Alligator mississippiensis: one gene and its partner. Each later gene encodes a partner of the first gene's protein in a complex. Links are inferred from orthologs where the notes say so. Each region holds a gene or a part of one and is shown on either strand. Other genes may lie near its edges.

Region 1 (8,057 bases):
GCACCCATAATGTCTCTGTGGAAACCACACCAAGTACTGACAAAGTAAAACAATATTAAGAATATATTCTTCAGCAGTTTATTGTGTAAAAGTAAGTGATATCTCCTTAGCACCAGCCTATTCTCCACAACCAACAGGAAACGTTTCACAGACAACAGGCTTTAAAAATCAGCTTTGCACACTGACAGTATCAGGGAGACCCTTGCCTCCTGGAGGGCAAGGGTCTCCCTGATACTGTCAGTGTGCAAAGTATCAGGAGTTTGCACACAAAAACTCAAGGAGTTTTGTTTTCTGAAGTGTTAACATATACAAGAACCTAGAAATAACAAACATCTGGAGCTTAATGCTGCCAGGTTCCTGGCTACCACAGCTCCTTGAAGCCAATGAAAGTGGAGGGTGCTAGTTTTCTTGCTGGAAGCACTCAGAACCTCACAGAAGCTTGTTTGTTATTATAGGGGAGAGGAAGCAAGGTTGAAAGTTGTCCTTATGTGACACTGACAGACCCATGAGGGATCCCCACACTCCTTACTTGTCACTGTCCCACATTCAAAATTCCCAGCAAGGATATTCCCTCCAATTCAGACAATATCTTAATCATCCGGAAGTTCTCAGAATTGTTAAGTGAACCAGAGAAATAAGGATGTAAATGGCAGCAGGAGCTACGTATTTCCAATATGTTGCTCCTCTCAAGTTTATTTTTGGTTTGTTTGTTTTTTCAGTCTAAAGCCAAGAGAGTCACATGGCATTAACGCGGCTCAGGTAAGAGTCTTCTGTCTTACCAACCTGCAATTAGACACAGTGATGTCAGCAAGAAATTGCTTAAAATACTTCTGACGTGCAACGTGAATGCTACATTTATTATAAAAGCCATCTTGTTGGTTTTTATGCTAGGATGAGTTTTACTGGACGTGGTTTGAATAAGACTGCCAGGAAAGCCAGGAAATAAAAACATCTTTCAAAAATGTAGATTTCAAGCTGCTATTTTTTTTTTAATACAGTTACAGCATGAAATTCTAAATTAAAGGCCGTGGTAGAATCCAACACTGAGGTGTTTGATATCAAAGTGTTGAGGGGGCTCGCAAAATCTAATCATTTTCTCTCTTAAAACAGGGAAAATGATATTGGTTCTTTGGTATGAATATTCGATTGCAGACTCTGCAATTAAGGTATTATAGCGTTGTTTTAGCCCACAAGAAACAGAGAGAAAAACTGACCTGTATGTGTTACTTAATCAAGAAGACAGATCTACTGAAAAAGCTAAGTAGCAGCCAAAAGTGGCGAAAAGTAAATTAGATTTATAAAAATGTAACTGTAATAAGCTTATTAAAAAGCAGAACAAGTGAGGACTTTTTAAAGAGTAAAAAAAATTAAATACATATCAGTGTCAAAGTGCCCTTTTGACAGGTCCTCATAATTATATTAAAAAAGCAGTAAATATTCAAGATCAAGGAAAAACAGCTAAGCCTCTTTCTAGGAAAACGCACAAAACAAAATAACTGTTTCTGCATATTTTATCTAAATTTAACAGCATATATGCAAGGAAGCTATGAACTGAATCTTTTGCCGTCTCCAAATAGAAAACCTTTTACCATCTCCAACTAAAAAAAGTGTTCTAAACTTTGCAGAAGTGTGGTATAAACCCAGACAAATTACGCAGCAACAAAGGGGCTGGTAACTGATCAGTACAAGCTTCCCCACCTTCTAGTCAATTGACAAATTCATAGACTAGTCTTCAATCCACACCCCGGGAATTTACATAGATAACTCCTATTATATACACAGGTAACTCCTATTAGCGCAAACACCAATTCTCTCTTTACTGAGATTAATCACAAAAAACAAAAGGCCAGTATATTTCCATTTTGAAAATATAATACAGTATATTCAAAATGGAAATACTGGCCTTTGTGACTGAAGTCAGTAAAGAGAGAATTGTTCGCACTAATAGGAGTTATCAATGTATATAATAGGAGTTATCTATGCAAATTCCCTGGGTGTCAATTGAAGACTAGCCTATGAATTTGTCAGTTGACTAGAAGGTGGGGAAGCTTGTCCTTGAAGAGAGAATTGGTGTTTGCACTAATGGGAGTTATTTATGTATATAATAGGAGCTACTTATATATGTAGTTCAGTATCTGAGAAGTCTAGTGATTTATTTAGGTGCCTAACTTCAGCCAACATGTTAGTAAACAACAACAAAAAGCTTTTCCTTAAAAATCAGCAACTCTACAGCAATTTTTTGGCCTCCCCACTCACACAAAAAATGAGCTCTCCCTCCCCCTCCTAACTCATTTTAATCAGTATTTTAGCCATTTGAAACTTCAGGCTCTTTTTCAGCGTCTGTAACACAACCGTTTGTCATTGCACGGAGTTTTACCCAAGAGCCGGACGTAGCGAAGCACTCGTCAACCGCCTCTTACTTTTGAGCTGCCCCTTGACGTCCCGGTCTTCACTCGAGTGCTCCTCTTCGTAGTGCGACTGAAGCTGATAGAAGGACTGAAGATCCTTCAGGCACAGTGGGCACAGGAAGCCCTCTCGCACCTCCCCGGGGTCATCGAACGGCGGCGGGTAGCTCGATGCCATGACGGCTCGACGGGTCTCAGCGGCACCCGACCAGGCCCGTGCTCTTCAGCGGCATCGCACCCGGGCGGGGTGCAGCATCGTCCGTGGTGCCTGGGAAGAGACCCGCGGAGCAGTTATTGTGCCCCCCACAAATGGCTGAACCAGTCACCCTCTCCCATCTGAATAGCCCGGCTGCAGCTTACAGCCAGGACCTCCCGGAGACCAGAGGCAGCCCCACAGCCGACGCGGACCTCCCGGACAGCGGCACCTTCTTCGTGCCCCCTCGAAGGTGCCAAACACGTGACTCGTCTCAGGGGGGCCAAACCTTTGCCCCCCGTGCTGGGCCCAGCCTAAACCCCAGGGGGAGGGGTCCTGCATGGGGGAGGGGCAGCGGAGCCGCCCCCACGTGCCCCCGGCCTCGCTTCTCGGCCCAGCCCCACCCCGGGATGAGGCACGGCCTGTCCGGGCCCCGACCAGCACCTCCCCCGCCCGCTGCGGGCGCCTCATGGCGCCGCCTGTGAGGAAACCCTCCCCTCCCCCCGGCCTGCGGGGGCCACTCACCTCCGGGCCCAGCGAGCGCTGCGGGGAGCGGCGCGCCGAGCCAGCGATAGCACAGCCGAGAGGGCGGGGCCGAGCGCAGGGCGCGCCGCCGAGCGCCGAGCGATGGATGGGCGCGCGGGGCATGCTGGGAAAGGGGCGCGAGGCCACGCCCCGGTGCGGGCGGCCCGGCCTGAGAGGCGCCGCCTGGGCCCTTCCCGCCCACGGGGCCCAGCGCCGCAGGGAGATTGGCCACAGAAGCCCACCCCCACCTCAGCCAGCTGGGCCCAGTGTCAGGCCAGGGGGCAGATCCATACGTCTCCAGTGGCTTCTTTCCTCCTCGAGGAACCGCTGCGTTGCGGAGGGCTGGCTCGCTTCACGCCTGGCGTTTGCGCGAGGCGGTTGAGCGCGCCCACCTGCGGCAAAGGTGGACGCGGCGGCACGAGGCGGCCGGTAGATGCAATTGCGTGCCGGGTGCTTCCAGCGAAGAAGACCCGGAGAATTGGGCCTACCACGTGTAGCGGAGTTGGCTTGCCTGCCACCGCCTCGCATATAACATGAGTGTATATGTGCACGTGCTCCTGTGAGACGGATTTCCAGATCGTAGCCTGTTTGGAGTGGGTTTCAAGCCGTGGGACCGTGTGTTTTAGGCCCAACCCTTCCATTGGCTGCCAGCGATAATTCTGCAGTTCGCAGCCACGCACCTGAGCATGCTGGGAACAGACCGGAGGTTTCTAATACGCCCGACAGGTTTCGTTCTCAGAGCCCCCCCACAAAGTTGTATGTTTGGCCCTGCTCTCTCTAGCGTAGATCCCACTTTGTTCCTCAAGGTAGGAGCATCATGTCTCCCTAGTGATACAGTTATTGCTTTATTTCACCTGGAAGAGGCCTGTGTTGTACTACTGCATATTACCTAGACCAGCGGTTCCCAAACTGACAGATTGCATGCGGCCAATTTAAAACGATACAACATGAAGTACCACCAGCAAATTTTTGTCATATAAAGTAATTATAATCAATCTGTTAACGTACCACTGAGAGGTTGTCTGCATACCACTTAGGGTGGCCATCATAGAGGACATTCTGGTTTTCTGCTACTCTGTCCTCTTTGGTACAAAGCCCGACACCTTTATGTTCTCTATTTTTCTTTTCAAGAAAAATAGAAAAATAAAAAAATATTTTTCTCTTCAAGAAAAATAGAGGACATAAAGGCATCGGGTTTCGTCTCAATAGAGGACAGAGGACAACCAGACTGTCCTCTGTGATGACCACCCTAGTACCTCTGATGGTACGTGTACCACAGATTGGGAACCGCTGATCTAGACCAATGATTCCCAGCTTTTTTAGGCTCAAGGCACCCCTCATTAGACTCAAAGCTTCTTTAATTGTTATGAGTTGAGCAGCACCCTATTTCAAAAACTAACTTATTTATTCCTTGCAGAGGAGCTGAGTAGGGACAAAGGAGTGTGGCCAAGCAGGGGTAAGCCTGGGCTTGTGCTTATCTACTAATCTCACACCTCCTACACCCATCAAAGAATTGAAAGAATCTCACCCTGGTTAAGAATAAATGACCTAGACATATGACCCCTTCTTACATTATTAGTACTTAATAAGAAATAGGATGTTTCTGGGCACTGCTATGAACAGTCTTTTTATCTGAGGGTCAGTCATTTAAAACCACTTCAGCTCCCAACAGGAGTTAAGGGTTATTATTTTCCAAGGTACAAAGGGTTAAGTGCCTACCTCCCCTTTGACTTAAAATTCTTCCCAGGTAAGTGGTATTTGGTGGCCTCACGTGAGATTAATTTGATGGGTCTTATTTTCACCTAGCTCACTACCGCAGTTTCCACTAATTAGCAAACTTGGTAAAGGCCAAGAACTGGGTGCTCCGCATGACCTGTAATACTTCTGATATATCAGAGGAATTCTGTATTGTACCAGTCTGCTTATTTTTGTTCTACTTGACCCATGCAGAGCTCAGTGTTCACATCTTACCGTTCCAGCTCTTTCATTTTTTTTAAAGCCAAGAAGAACAATTAGTCCATGTTAGAAACTAACCTGGTATCAAATTTTGGTATCTGTTCTGCAGTCTGATCCAGGTGGGCAACCCACACTACATTATCGTTTTCATCACCTTTTGCATCACACTGAATTTGGCCCATTTTGCTGTTACATAACTGCAATCTTACAGAAGCATAAGGGGGAAATAAAGGCTCAGAACTGACCTGATTTAGTCACAGGAATAATTGAATGTTATAAATAACCAAAGGAGCTGAATTTTTAAATAACCAATTTGAGTTGGATCCATTACTCTCTACTTCTCAAAACAATGCAGTCTTGGTTCAATTACTTGCAGAGAGAACCAGGCAGCTATGAAAAAGAATGTAGAATCCCACTTATAATCACTTCCCTCTTTAACATGGAAAATGCAGGCTCAAGACCAATTTGCTGTTAAAAGCAGAGATGACTTTTATGATGCTGTAAAGGAAAAAATTCCCCTCTTATGATACTGCAGCTCTGATGCTATTAACAAATTGTATTGTATATAATAAACCATTAGTGTATTTAAAAGGTGTATTTGATTTCTTCTTTACATTAACAGAGCATATTGATCAAAAAGTTTTACGAACACGAATAGTGGGGTTTTTTTTAAATAATGCTATTGATTTAATTTCAAAACATAAGAATGTCCTCAGCCCATAAAGACAGAGAAGAAAGAGAATGTTAATTGCTGCACTGTACCAAGGCAGTACAATTGGCTTAAGTATAAGGTAATGCTTATCTATACTGCTGCTGGTATCCATGGTCATCTATATAAGTGCTTTTAGGATATCTTTTCCTGGGGTTTATGTAAGGAAAATGGTGATATGTAAAAGGGATTCAGTCTGAGGAATGTGTTAATAAACTTGTGGCTCACATTATTATTAGATGAGATAACCTGGTTATTTCTTTTTCAGTGTGACAAATGAGTAGATTTTTTTTTGAATGACATGTTGTATAAAGCCATCAAGATGCGCATATGCTTTAGAACCCCAACCCTGGCCACTGATCCTATGCTTGCAGTACCCTGTACCTATGAGTTATCTCACTGAAACCAACTGGGTTCTTCTTGCATAGATTTATGGCTAATATCTGGATGTGAATGAATACACAGCTGACTTTCCCCTTCTTCCATTTCCTGACACTTGTCTGACCTCATTTACTACATCACTTCTCTAGTAAGCACCATTCCCTGTGAATAATTAGGGGTGTGAGTCATGATTGCAGGTTTGGGCTCTCAGGCTTTAGTCCTGTGGTTTGTTCTCTCTGGGAGTGCTCAGCTAGTGTTGAAGTTGCAGGGTAAGGCTTTGTCTCTATAAGGGAAAAGCCTAGAATAACTAATATGGAAGAGTAGCAACATCACATTAGCTCCTTGTGTGAGTGCTCTTATTCTACACTAAGAATACCATGCAAAGAAACTCCAGTTTGGAGGTAACCTGTTTGGAGTAGTTATTACTTGGACACTGCCTTGCTAGTTCTCACTAACTTCTGTGGCATTCCCTGGCTTGACAAGCCCTCATGTTGCAAGTCCTTTAGTGTGGCATCAGGTCTTGTCTCTAATGCATGTGATACAATCTCAAAACAGTGCTGGAAAATGTTCACAGAAGTGGCATGATGGCTGTCCCACAGACAACTGTCAACAAGCCAGTGGGGTTGAGGGTATGCATTTGACTTCACCAGAGACAGATCTGAGAGAGAAATCATAGTTTAATTACTATAAATGGTCTAGCAAGGTAGGGTGGGTTTGATTAACAAGAGAGTAGACTTGATATGCAACATTTATCCTGGATTGTACGACACATTTAAACAGACAGTGTGAGTCCCTGAGCCAGGGAGTAATGTTCTTTGTAAATGCAGATAACAGTTTTCAGGCAAGTACTCTCTGCTACAACTAGAATTGTTTGTTCCCACTGTGATGACTGCATGACATAGACCTCACGTAAAGGGGGATTCTCTGCTTTCCTTAATGGAACTCTCATTAGTCCCTACAGTAAGTACATCAAGTACATCATGTGGAATAGGAACACTCATGCTGCAAAAAGTGTTGTTCTTGCTTCTTGCAACACATCCTGGATTTCCCACACCCAGGTTCTTTGTAAACAGGGACCTCTTTACTGCATGCAAATGTCAAAGGGCTGTGATACAGGGGACTGTGCTCACAGTGAAGCATATGCACATGGGGACAAGCCCTGTGTCCAGCAGGGCTTTCCTGCACAGCCTGGGACTGGCCAGGACCTGTCCCGGTCTGGGGCAGGTCCCAGCCATCTCCGGGCTACATAGAGACTGCTCTGCGCAGCCTGGAGCTGGCTGGGATCTGCCCTTCCTCCGCAGGTGCTTCCCAGCCCTGTGCTTCAATTGGGAGAATAGGGCAGGAGGCTGCTGGTGAAGCAGTGTTAAGCTGCTCCTGTTAAGAGTCCCCCCCCCCACAGCTGTTTCCCAGCTCTGTGCCCAAATCGCTAGAATAGTCTACTGTGCAATAAACATCTTGTGTAGACACACCCACAGAGAAGTAAATAACAGGAAGTCATGGGCCAGACTCTCAGTAGATGTAAATTAGCATGGGTCCAATAGGCTGTACATTGATTTACACTAGCTCCCAATTTAGGCCTCAGTTTCCATTTTAGCTCCTCTCAGACTGTCTGTGTCTGGAATGATGCCCAGGCTGAAGTTTAAAATCATTTTGACAGATACCAGTGGTATCGTCTAGACCTTTCTCTCCTATCCTAGGATGTTTTTTTTTCATACTAAGTATTGAGCTCATTTTATCTTTTGCAGCATCTGAGAAAAGTACCTCTGTAGCAGCTTCTTTGAACATATTTATGTTCAGTTTGTTGTTTTAAAAAAGCTACACAGAATATTCCAGTTTCATTTGTGTGTGCAGCAGTCCTCCTGGATGAGAGCAGAACTTCTTGGCCTGT
Region 2 (7,291 bases), on another chromosome or scaffold:
CATCCAAATCAGGCTTAAAATGACAAAATTATAGGCATTTTCATGATTCCCCATTATAGCCTATGGGTGAAACGACAAAACAGTTTTGAGGAAACAAAATGGAACAGTGCTTCGAAACAGTGAAACGAAACACTGTCCCTTTGAAACAGCAAAACAGAAGTCAACACGACACCGTGCTATTTCACACAGTCCTACTGTGCATTAGCATCGCTAAAAAGGCATATGCCAAAACTACTGCACGGTAGCTCCAGTTACTGTGCATTGAGTTAGTACCTATTAATACAGGTACTAAACTTAATGTGCAGTAACTATGACACATTAATGTACATGTAGAGGTGCCTGTGAGAGACCAGCTTATTTGTTATGCCTTGATAATGGGCCTAGGTCTATCAGAAACTATAAGTTGTCTTTAGTTGCTAGAAGGAGGCCACTTAACATGCAAAAACCAATTTCTTCAGACAACAAACAACAAAACAGGAATGACAGTGATGATGACTACATGTTAATAACTAGGGTGTCAAAGGCAGACATGGAGCAGAGAACTACAGCTAGTGCTCACAGGTTTTCAAAGACATCCTAGGAGCCACTGGATGCTGCCCAGTGAAATAATGCTTGGATATGGGCACAAATAAGGGAAATGAAGACAGCTCTGTAGTTGCCAGGGTCTCCTGTGGCCACACCTCCTTCCTCGTCATCAGGTAGATAGATATCCTAGCCAAGGCCAGGGGGAAACTGACCAGAAGGATTGGCTAGATTGACCTCTACTATGGACTAGTATGGCATTTCTTATACTCTTAATACAAACTATAAGAATATTTGTGAGCCTGAAACCATCATAATATAATAATACAAGATTGAAAGATGCTAACTTTTCAATTAATCATAGAAAAGTAGGGCTCAAAGGAACCTCTGGAGGTCATCTAGTCCAACCCCCTGCATGAGGCAGGATCATCCCTATCCAAACTATGGCATACAAATCAGATAATAAGCCTGGGAAACAATTCTGGCCCTGGTTGGCCTGGCATATATTGGTTCCTGCTTTCTTCAGTCTCCCCTCCCCCCACCACCTCCAAGCTGACAATTTAAATCACTGTCCAGCTAGATCACCCCAATGGCTGACAGTCACAGCTGTCACCTCTACTGCTGTGCCTCACAGCCATGGAGCTATCCCCAAACTGTAGGAATGTAAGGTTATATCTGCCCATCATTTATCCCCAATTAACTTCTGTGGCTCAAAGATCTGCAAGACAGTATGTAGACTGGAAAATAAAGCCTGTGTGAAATCCACTCTGACCCTATAGTGCCTAAGCTCCAAGATAACATGACAGGTGGAGAGGGAGCTGAAGACTTATGGAGGCATCTCAGTTTATTCTGGGAGTGTCAGGCAGGTGGCATATTAAGGTTATTCTCAGATCTGTGCAAAAAAAAGGTTTAACTTCTCCTAAATGAAACTTATACTACATCCTCCCAAAACTGAGAGGTATTCATCATCTCAGAAAGGCTGTTCTGTTCTCAAAGTGGAAGTATTATATGTTTGAGGAGAATAAACCTTTTATTGAATCAGCTATTAAGTAAAAAGTGCCAGAAAGCCCTGCTGAAGCTCCTGATCTATAGAGAGCTGGGCAAGCCAGGTGAAACTAACACAATGCCTCTTTCGGGCATGCACTCGGCTTCATGCAAGGATGAGCCAAGCTGAAAGTAAAGTGCTGGGATTTTTGGGGTTTTTTTTCATGTCGTCGGTTAGCAGCCAGTAGGGCATATAGGCTCATTTACTTACCCATGCACAAGGAATATTCTGGAGAAGAAATTACTCCTGGGAGGTAGTAGAGGGTCTCCATGCTACTACTACTCTGCCTCAGAGGTCCGTATTACCAAAGCTATTTCAGGTAGTGAGCAGTCACTGAACAGCACGCCCATATTATAATATGATATTGCCCTGGATTATTTTAATTTGACTTAATATGGGGATACATAGACAATTTTATCACTTCTCATTGTCCTTCCTCAAGCCCTCCTATGATTTCCTGTACTTACTTGTAGCTTCTCTTTTATGTTGTTGGGGAAAAGAATCACATCTTTCCATAAATCTGTAGGCTGTCTACTACCACAAGACTCTGCTCCTAATTGGGATTTCTGAGCTCCACTGCAAGTAATGAATAGTCACGTTCTGCTAAAACCGTGACTCATAACTGGAGTACCACAGTGCCTGGCCCACATGGGACAGCAAAGGCAGTCTCCTTCACAGTCCAGGCATCCTGAGCCTGCCCTGCCGTGTCCCACGGTCAAACGGATCCCTGCATCCTCTCCTACCAGTTCTGTGAGCATGCGAGGAGCAGATGAAGGAGCAGAGCTGAAAACCACAATTCCCAGTGGCCCCCCCCACTGCCACAGGTGGGCACCATTTTTTTTAAGTTTGGTGTATTCCCCCACTCCTCCCATGCTCCTGGAGCAAGTTGCTGGCATTCAAGTTCCCAGAGGAGCAGCTACAGCACCAGTGCTGTGCTCACCCCCTCATGTATTGATCAGGGACAGGCAACAAAAAAAAAAAAAGGAAAAGAAAAAAAAAAAGGCAGGGTCCAGCCCCTGCCATCCTCACTTTGCACAAGCAGTTGCACATCTAGTAGCCACGGCCACCCCTTCCTGTCCCCTGCAGGGGTCTGACACTCTCCCAAAGTCCTCAAATCTGCCTTGGCCGCACCGAGTACAGCCCCGCGCCATGCTCCGGGGCTGCTGAGCCTGCAGGTATCGAAGCCGATACCTGGAAGCCGAGACGACAGGTGCCGAAGAATCACAGAGAAGCGGGGCGGGAAAGCACCTCCAGCCCAACCCTGCCAGAGGCAGGACCACCCCTATGCCAGCAGGGCCAGGACAGGGACTCTCCTCACCCCCCAGGGTGGTAGGCCCGGCTCCGGGCCCGAGGCCGAAGGGGGAGCAGGGCACGGCCCCGAGCCGCCCCGGCGCCGCAGTCCCCGCCTCACGCGCTCGGGGAGACGCGGCCGCTCCTACCGTAAGTCTCAGACATGGCCGTCTGCGACATGGCGGGGCCAGACCCCCTCCGCCTTGGGCTGCTGCTGCTGCTGCTGCCCGCCGGCGAGTCCCAGCAGCGGACACCGGCCCCTAACCGCCTCAGCCGGGCCAACCGCCGCAGCAACGGTCGCGCGTCTGCGCCTGCGCGCTCCCGCCCCCCCTCGGGGCGGGGCTACGCGTCTGCGCCTGCGCGTTGCCGCCTCCCCACCTCCGCCACCAAAACAAAGCGCACGTGCGGCGCTTGGCGAACTGGGCCGTTGGGGGGGGGGAGGGAGCGTCTGCGCAAGCGCGCGTTCCGCCCGTGGAATGTAACGGCGTGCGACGTCAACGCCGCGCGGTTGGCTTCTGATGTGCCCGGGGAGGGGCCTCCTGGAGCCTATAATGGCGTCTCCTTCCGTCGCCTTGCCCCCCGGCGTCGGCCACGAGGGCAGCGCGTGACGCTGAGGCAACGCCCCGCCTCCCCTCAGGTTCAATGCTTGACGTTACCCACGCCTCAAGTTGTCTGAAGGCGAACGGGGCTCAGTGGCTGGCTGCGCGTGAGCAGTGCCGTGGAAGCCAGCTGATGCAGGGCTGCTGGTAGGCCCGTGCGGGCTGGTGCGGGCTAGTTGCTAGCCTGGGGATGTAATATGGGCCCTGGTGCTGTGCAGAGCCCTAGCGCCCACCCCCAGGGCCAACCCATGCCAGGGCCCCAGCACTAGTTCGGACTAGGCTTCATGTGGCCACTGACCCAACCCTAAAGTGCAGTGCGCCCTTAGTGAGGGTGGCCCCCCTCCACCAATCAGTAGTGGGGGTGGCACCTTCTTCCACCAATCTGAAGTGACAGGTGGGGTAGCTACCTCTTTAACCAATCAGCAGCAAGGGGCGGGGCCACCAGAAACTGGCTGCCTCCCCTCTTCCCTCCCTGGGTGGGAACCTTGAGCTCCTGGCTTTGCACCGCCTTACCTCTAGGCACAGCCAATAGAATTGGGAGGATAAGTGATTGGCATGTGTTTCCACCAATGAACTAGAAAAACAGGCTTTTTTTTTTTCTGCAGTGCATTCCTCGCTTAGAAACAAATAGGGAGCAGGGGGTGTCAGAGCTAATGGCCACCTTAGCCAGGCTCCATCCAAGGGGTGCCCCTTGGATGGAGGGAGGGGCTGCAACCCAGGGCCACTGGGGTTTGCTTCCCTTCCTCCCTGGGGAGGCCAGAATAAGCAGGCTCAGGTAGAGCACTGGTAGTGGGACTTAGGGTATCAAAGGGATCACTGAGGTTATAGACAGTCCCTGAATGATCGGCAGTCCAGCAGGGCTTGGTGGAAGGGGGGGGGGGGGGGGAAGTCCCAGATGATTGGAAAAGGGCAAACATAGTGCCCATATTTAAGAAAGGGGAAAAGGAGGGTCCAGGAAACTACAGACCAGCCAGCTTCACCTCAGACCCTGGAAAGATCATAGAGCAGATCCTCAAGGAATCCATTTGGAAGCACTTGGAGGAGAAAAAGGTGATTAGGAAGTCAGTTTGGATTCACCAGGGGCAAATCATGCCTGACCTGCCTGATTGCCTTCTATGGTGAGATGACTGGCTCTGTGGATGTGGGGAGACCAGTGGATGTGGTGTACCTTGACTTTAGCAAGGCTTTTGATATGGTCTCCCACAGCATTCTTGCAGGCAAGCAAAGGAAGTCCGAGTTGGATGAATGGACTATCAGGTGGATAGAAAACTGGCTGGATCATTGGGCTCAGAGGGTAGTAATCAATGGCTAAATGTGTAGTTGGTAGCCGGTATCAAGTGGAGTGCCGCAGGGGTTGTCCTGGGCCCAATTTTGTTCATAGAGTGCATCCTCAGCAAATCTGAAGATGACGCCAAACTGGAGGGAGTAGTAGATATGCTGGAGGGTAGGGCTAGGATTCAGAGACCTTGACACATTGGAGGATTGGACCAAAAGAAATCTCACAAGGTTCAACAAGGACAAGTGCAAAGTCCTGCACTTAGGACAGAAAAATCCCATGCACCAATACAAGCTGGGGGCTGACTGCTGGACAGCAGCTCTGCAGAGTAGGACCTGGGAGTTACAGTGGACAATAAGCTGAATATGAACCAACAGTTTGCCCTTGTTGCCAAGAAGGCTAACGGCATACTGGGCTGCATCGGTAGGAGCGTTGCCAGCAGATCAAGTGAAATGATTATTTCTCTCTGTTCATCACTGGTGAGGCCACATCTGGAGTATTGTGGTCAGCTTTGGGCCCCCTACTACAGAAAGGATGTGAACAAATTGGAGAGAGTCCAGTGAAGGGCAAGGAAAAATGATCAAGGGGCTGGAACATATGACTTATGAGGACAGGCTGAGGGAACTGGACTTATTTAATCTAGAGAAGAGAAGACTGAGAGGGGATTTAATGGAAGCCTTCAACTACCTGTAGGGCGGTTTGAAAGAGGATGGAGATAGATTGTTCTCAGTGATGGCAGATGACAGAACAAGGAGCAATAGCGTCAAGTTGCAGCATGGGAAATTTAGGTTATATATTAGCAATAATTTTCTCACTAGGAGGGTAGTAAAACTCTGGAACAGGTTACCCAGAGAGGTTGTGGAATCTCCATCCTTGGAGGTTTTTAAGACCTGGATGAACAAAGCTTTGGCTGGGATGATCTGGTTGGGGATGGTCCTGTTCTGAGCATGGGGTTGGACTAGATGACCTTTTAGGTCCCTTACAAGTCTTATTTTTTATGATTCTATGGAGCTTATCTGATTTAGTTAGTCTAGGGATGTCCAATTTCTGACAGACTAGAGGCTGTAGGTTCCCCCCTGCCACAGTGTCATGCAAGCACCCCTTCTCCCTGCACCCATGCTGCAGGGGACCCTACCAGCTGCAAGAGCCCACCTGCCACCAACTGCACTGCAGGGGCTCCCAGCATGGTACAATGCCATGCCCCCCCACCTCACCCTCCCTCCTGGGCAGCATTTCCTGCCCATTCTGCCCCCTTCGAGCAGTGGCACCAGCCCTACTGCTGCCAGCCCAGCCATAGACTTCCCCGCTTCCCTCAAAGCCCCCACCCCTATCCCCCACTGGAAGGGTAGGCACTTCCCCTCGCACCCGCTGCTCCAGTCCTCCAACTCTCCCCCACCCCACCACCCAAGACTTACCTGCATTCAGCTGCTGAGGCTGATGCAGACACACACAGATTGGAGTGGTGCCCTTGCCTCCAGTCGCCTTCCCTCTGCTTCCACTGGTGGAGCAAAGTAAAATCTCAGGCATTGGTTCAGATTTCAAAAAACTGCCTTGACAGAGATTGGAGAACTCAAAAATAGGACGTGTCTGGAAAAACCTGGACATACGGTAACACTAGTCTGGAGGAGGGAGGGAGAGCCTGGGGACTCAGGCAGCAGCAGGAAGAGAACAAAGGGGGGGAGCAGTGCTCAGGCCAGGGTCCAGAGGTCATTGTTTATCCCCTTAGGGGGTGCATGTGGCTCACAGGCTGCTAGTTGGACAGCCCTGAGTTAACCTATAAGGTTACCCTGCCTCCTGTCTCGTACGTGTTTCTCCTGTGAGACTCTGACACCTTCCTCTGGGACACTTGATTCTGCCTCCTGCCAGAAATAGGGTGCCAGAGGGCCTGGGCTATTATCCAGGATATCCAGCCTGTGTTCTTAAGTGATAACATTTTTTAAAAAGTGTTTATTGTCGGGACCCAGGGCAGCCGGCCAGTAGCTCTCCCTGACTCCCACCCGGGCAGATAAGGGTCCGCCTAATTAATTCCACTCCAAGCATCACAAATACCCACCTAACGGCCTTCTAAGGCCCTGGGCCCTTATCTGCCCGGGTGGGAGTCAGGGAGAGCTGCTGGCCGGCTGCCCTGGGTCCCGACATGGCGTCACGAACAGGATCAAGGGGAAATGTGATGGAGTGGGAATTAATTAAGAACTGCCCCTGGTGTAGTGGGGGGCGCTGCGTAGATAACGCGGATGAATTATGGGCCCACATCGCTTATCACCAAGTGAGCGGAGCGGAGACAGGGTGCGTCAGCGGCTACTTCTCGCTGAGAGGAGAGGAGGGAGTCAGAAAGGAGTGGGGAAGCTCCGAGTGGGACAAAGGGAAGATGATTAACATAGTGTCACTCCTACTGCGTGAAAATGCAAACTTAAAAACCCAGTTAGCTACAGTCAGCAAAGCTGCTGCAGAGATGGCAGCGTGCCCAAACCCTCCGTCGCCACAAAGAAATGGCACCGAGAAAAATATGAGCTGCCCGGAAGACCCGGAAAAGAAGGGCGGAGCCACAGAAGAACAGGC

Evidence for each region. Proteins that work in one complex are often made in the same cells at the same time.
Region 2: the proteins of RBSN (region 1) and RAB4A are in contact, whole or in part, in a crystal structure (PDB 1Z0K), measured with the Homo sapiens proteins. The link is inferred for Alligator mississippiensis from reciprocal best matches to the Homo sapiens genes RBSN and RAB4A. Residues at the interface, in NP_001289307.1 of Homo sapiens: Glu441, Gly442, Trp443, Leu444, Pro445, Ser447, Glu454, Pro458, Leu459, Gln461, Gln462, Asn465, Ile466, Phe469, Asp480, Glu481, Thr484, Leu485, Asn488, Leu492, Glu495, Gln499; in NP_004569.2 of Homo sapiens: Tyr10, Leu30, His31, Ile34, Glu35, Ile46, Gly47, Val48, Glu49, Phe50, Gly51, Ser52, Lys53, Lys63, Gln65, Trp67, Arg74, Phe75, Ser77, Val78, Ser81, Tyr82.

What each region holds. Positions count from the first base shown.
Region 1 is NC_081835.1:15,632,032-15,640,088, reverse strand, and holds the start of RBSN (rabenosyn-5), read right to left. Parts: upstream 3,227-8,057; 5' UTR 3,124-3,226; intron 2,674-3,123; 5' UTR 2,584-2,673; coding exon 2,421-2,583; intron 1-2,420. UniProt on the Homo sapiens protein: Rab4/Rab5 effector protein acting in early endocytic membrane fusion and membrane trafficking of recycling endosomes. Required for endosome fusion either homotypically or with clathrin coated vesicles.
Region 2 is NC_081824.1:149,267,894-149,275,184, forward strand, and holds the start of RAB4A (ras-related protein Rab-4A), read right to left. Parts: upstream 3,209-7,291; 5' UTR 3,038-3,208; coding exon 3,007-3,037; intron 1-3,006. UniProt on the Homo sapiens protein: The small GTPases Rab are key regulators of intracellular membrane trafficking, from the formation of transport vesicles to their fusion with membranes.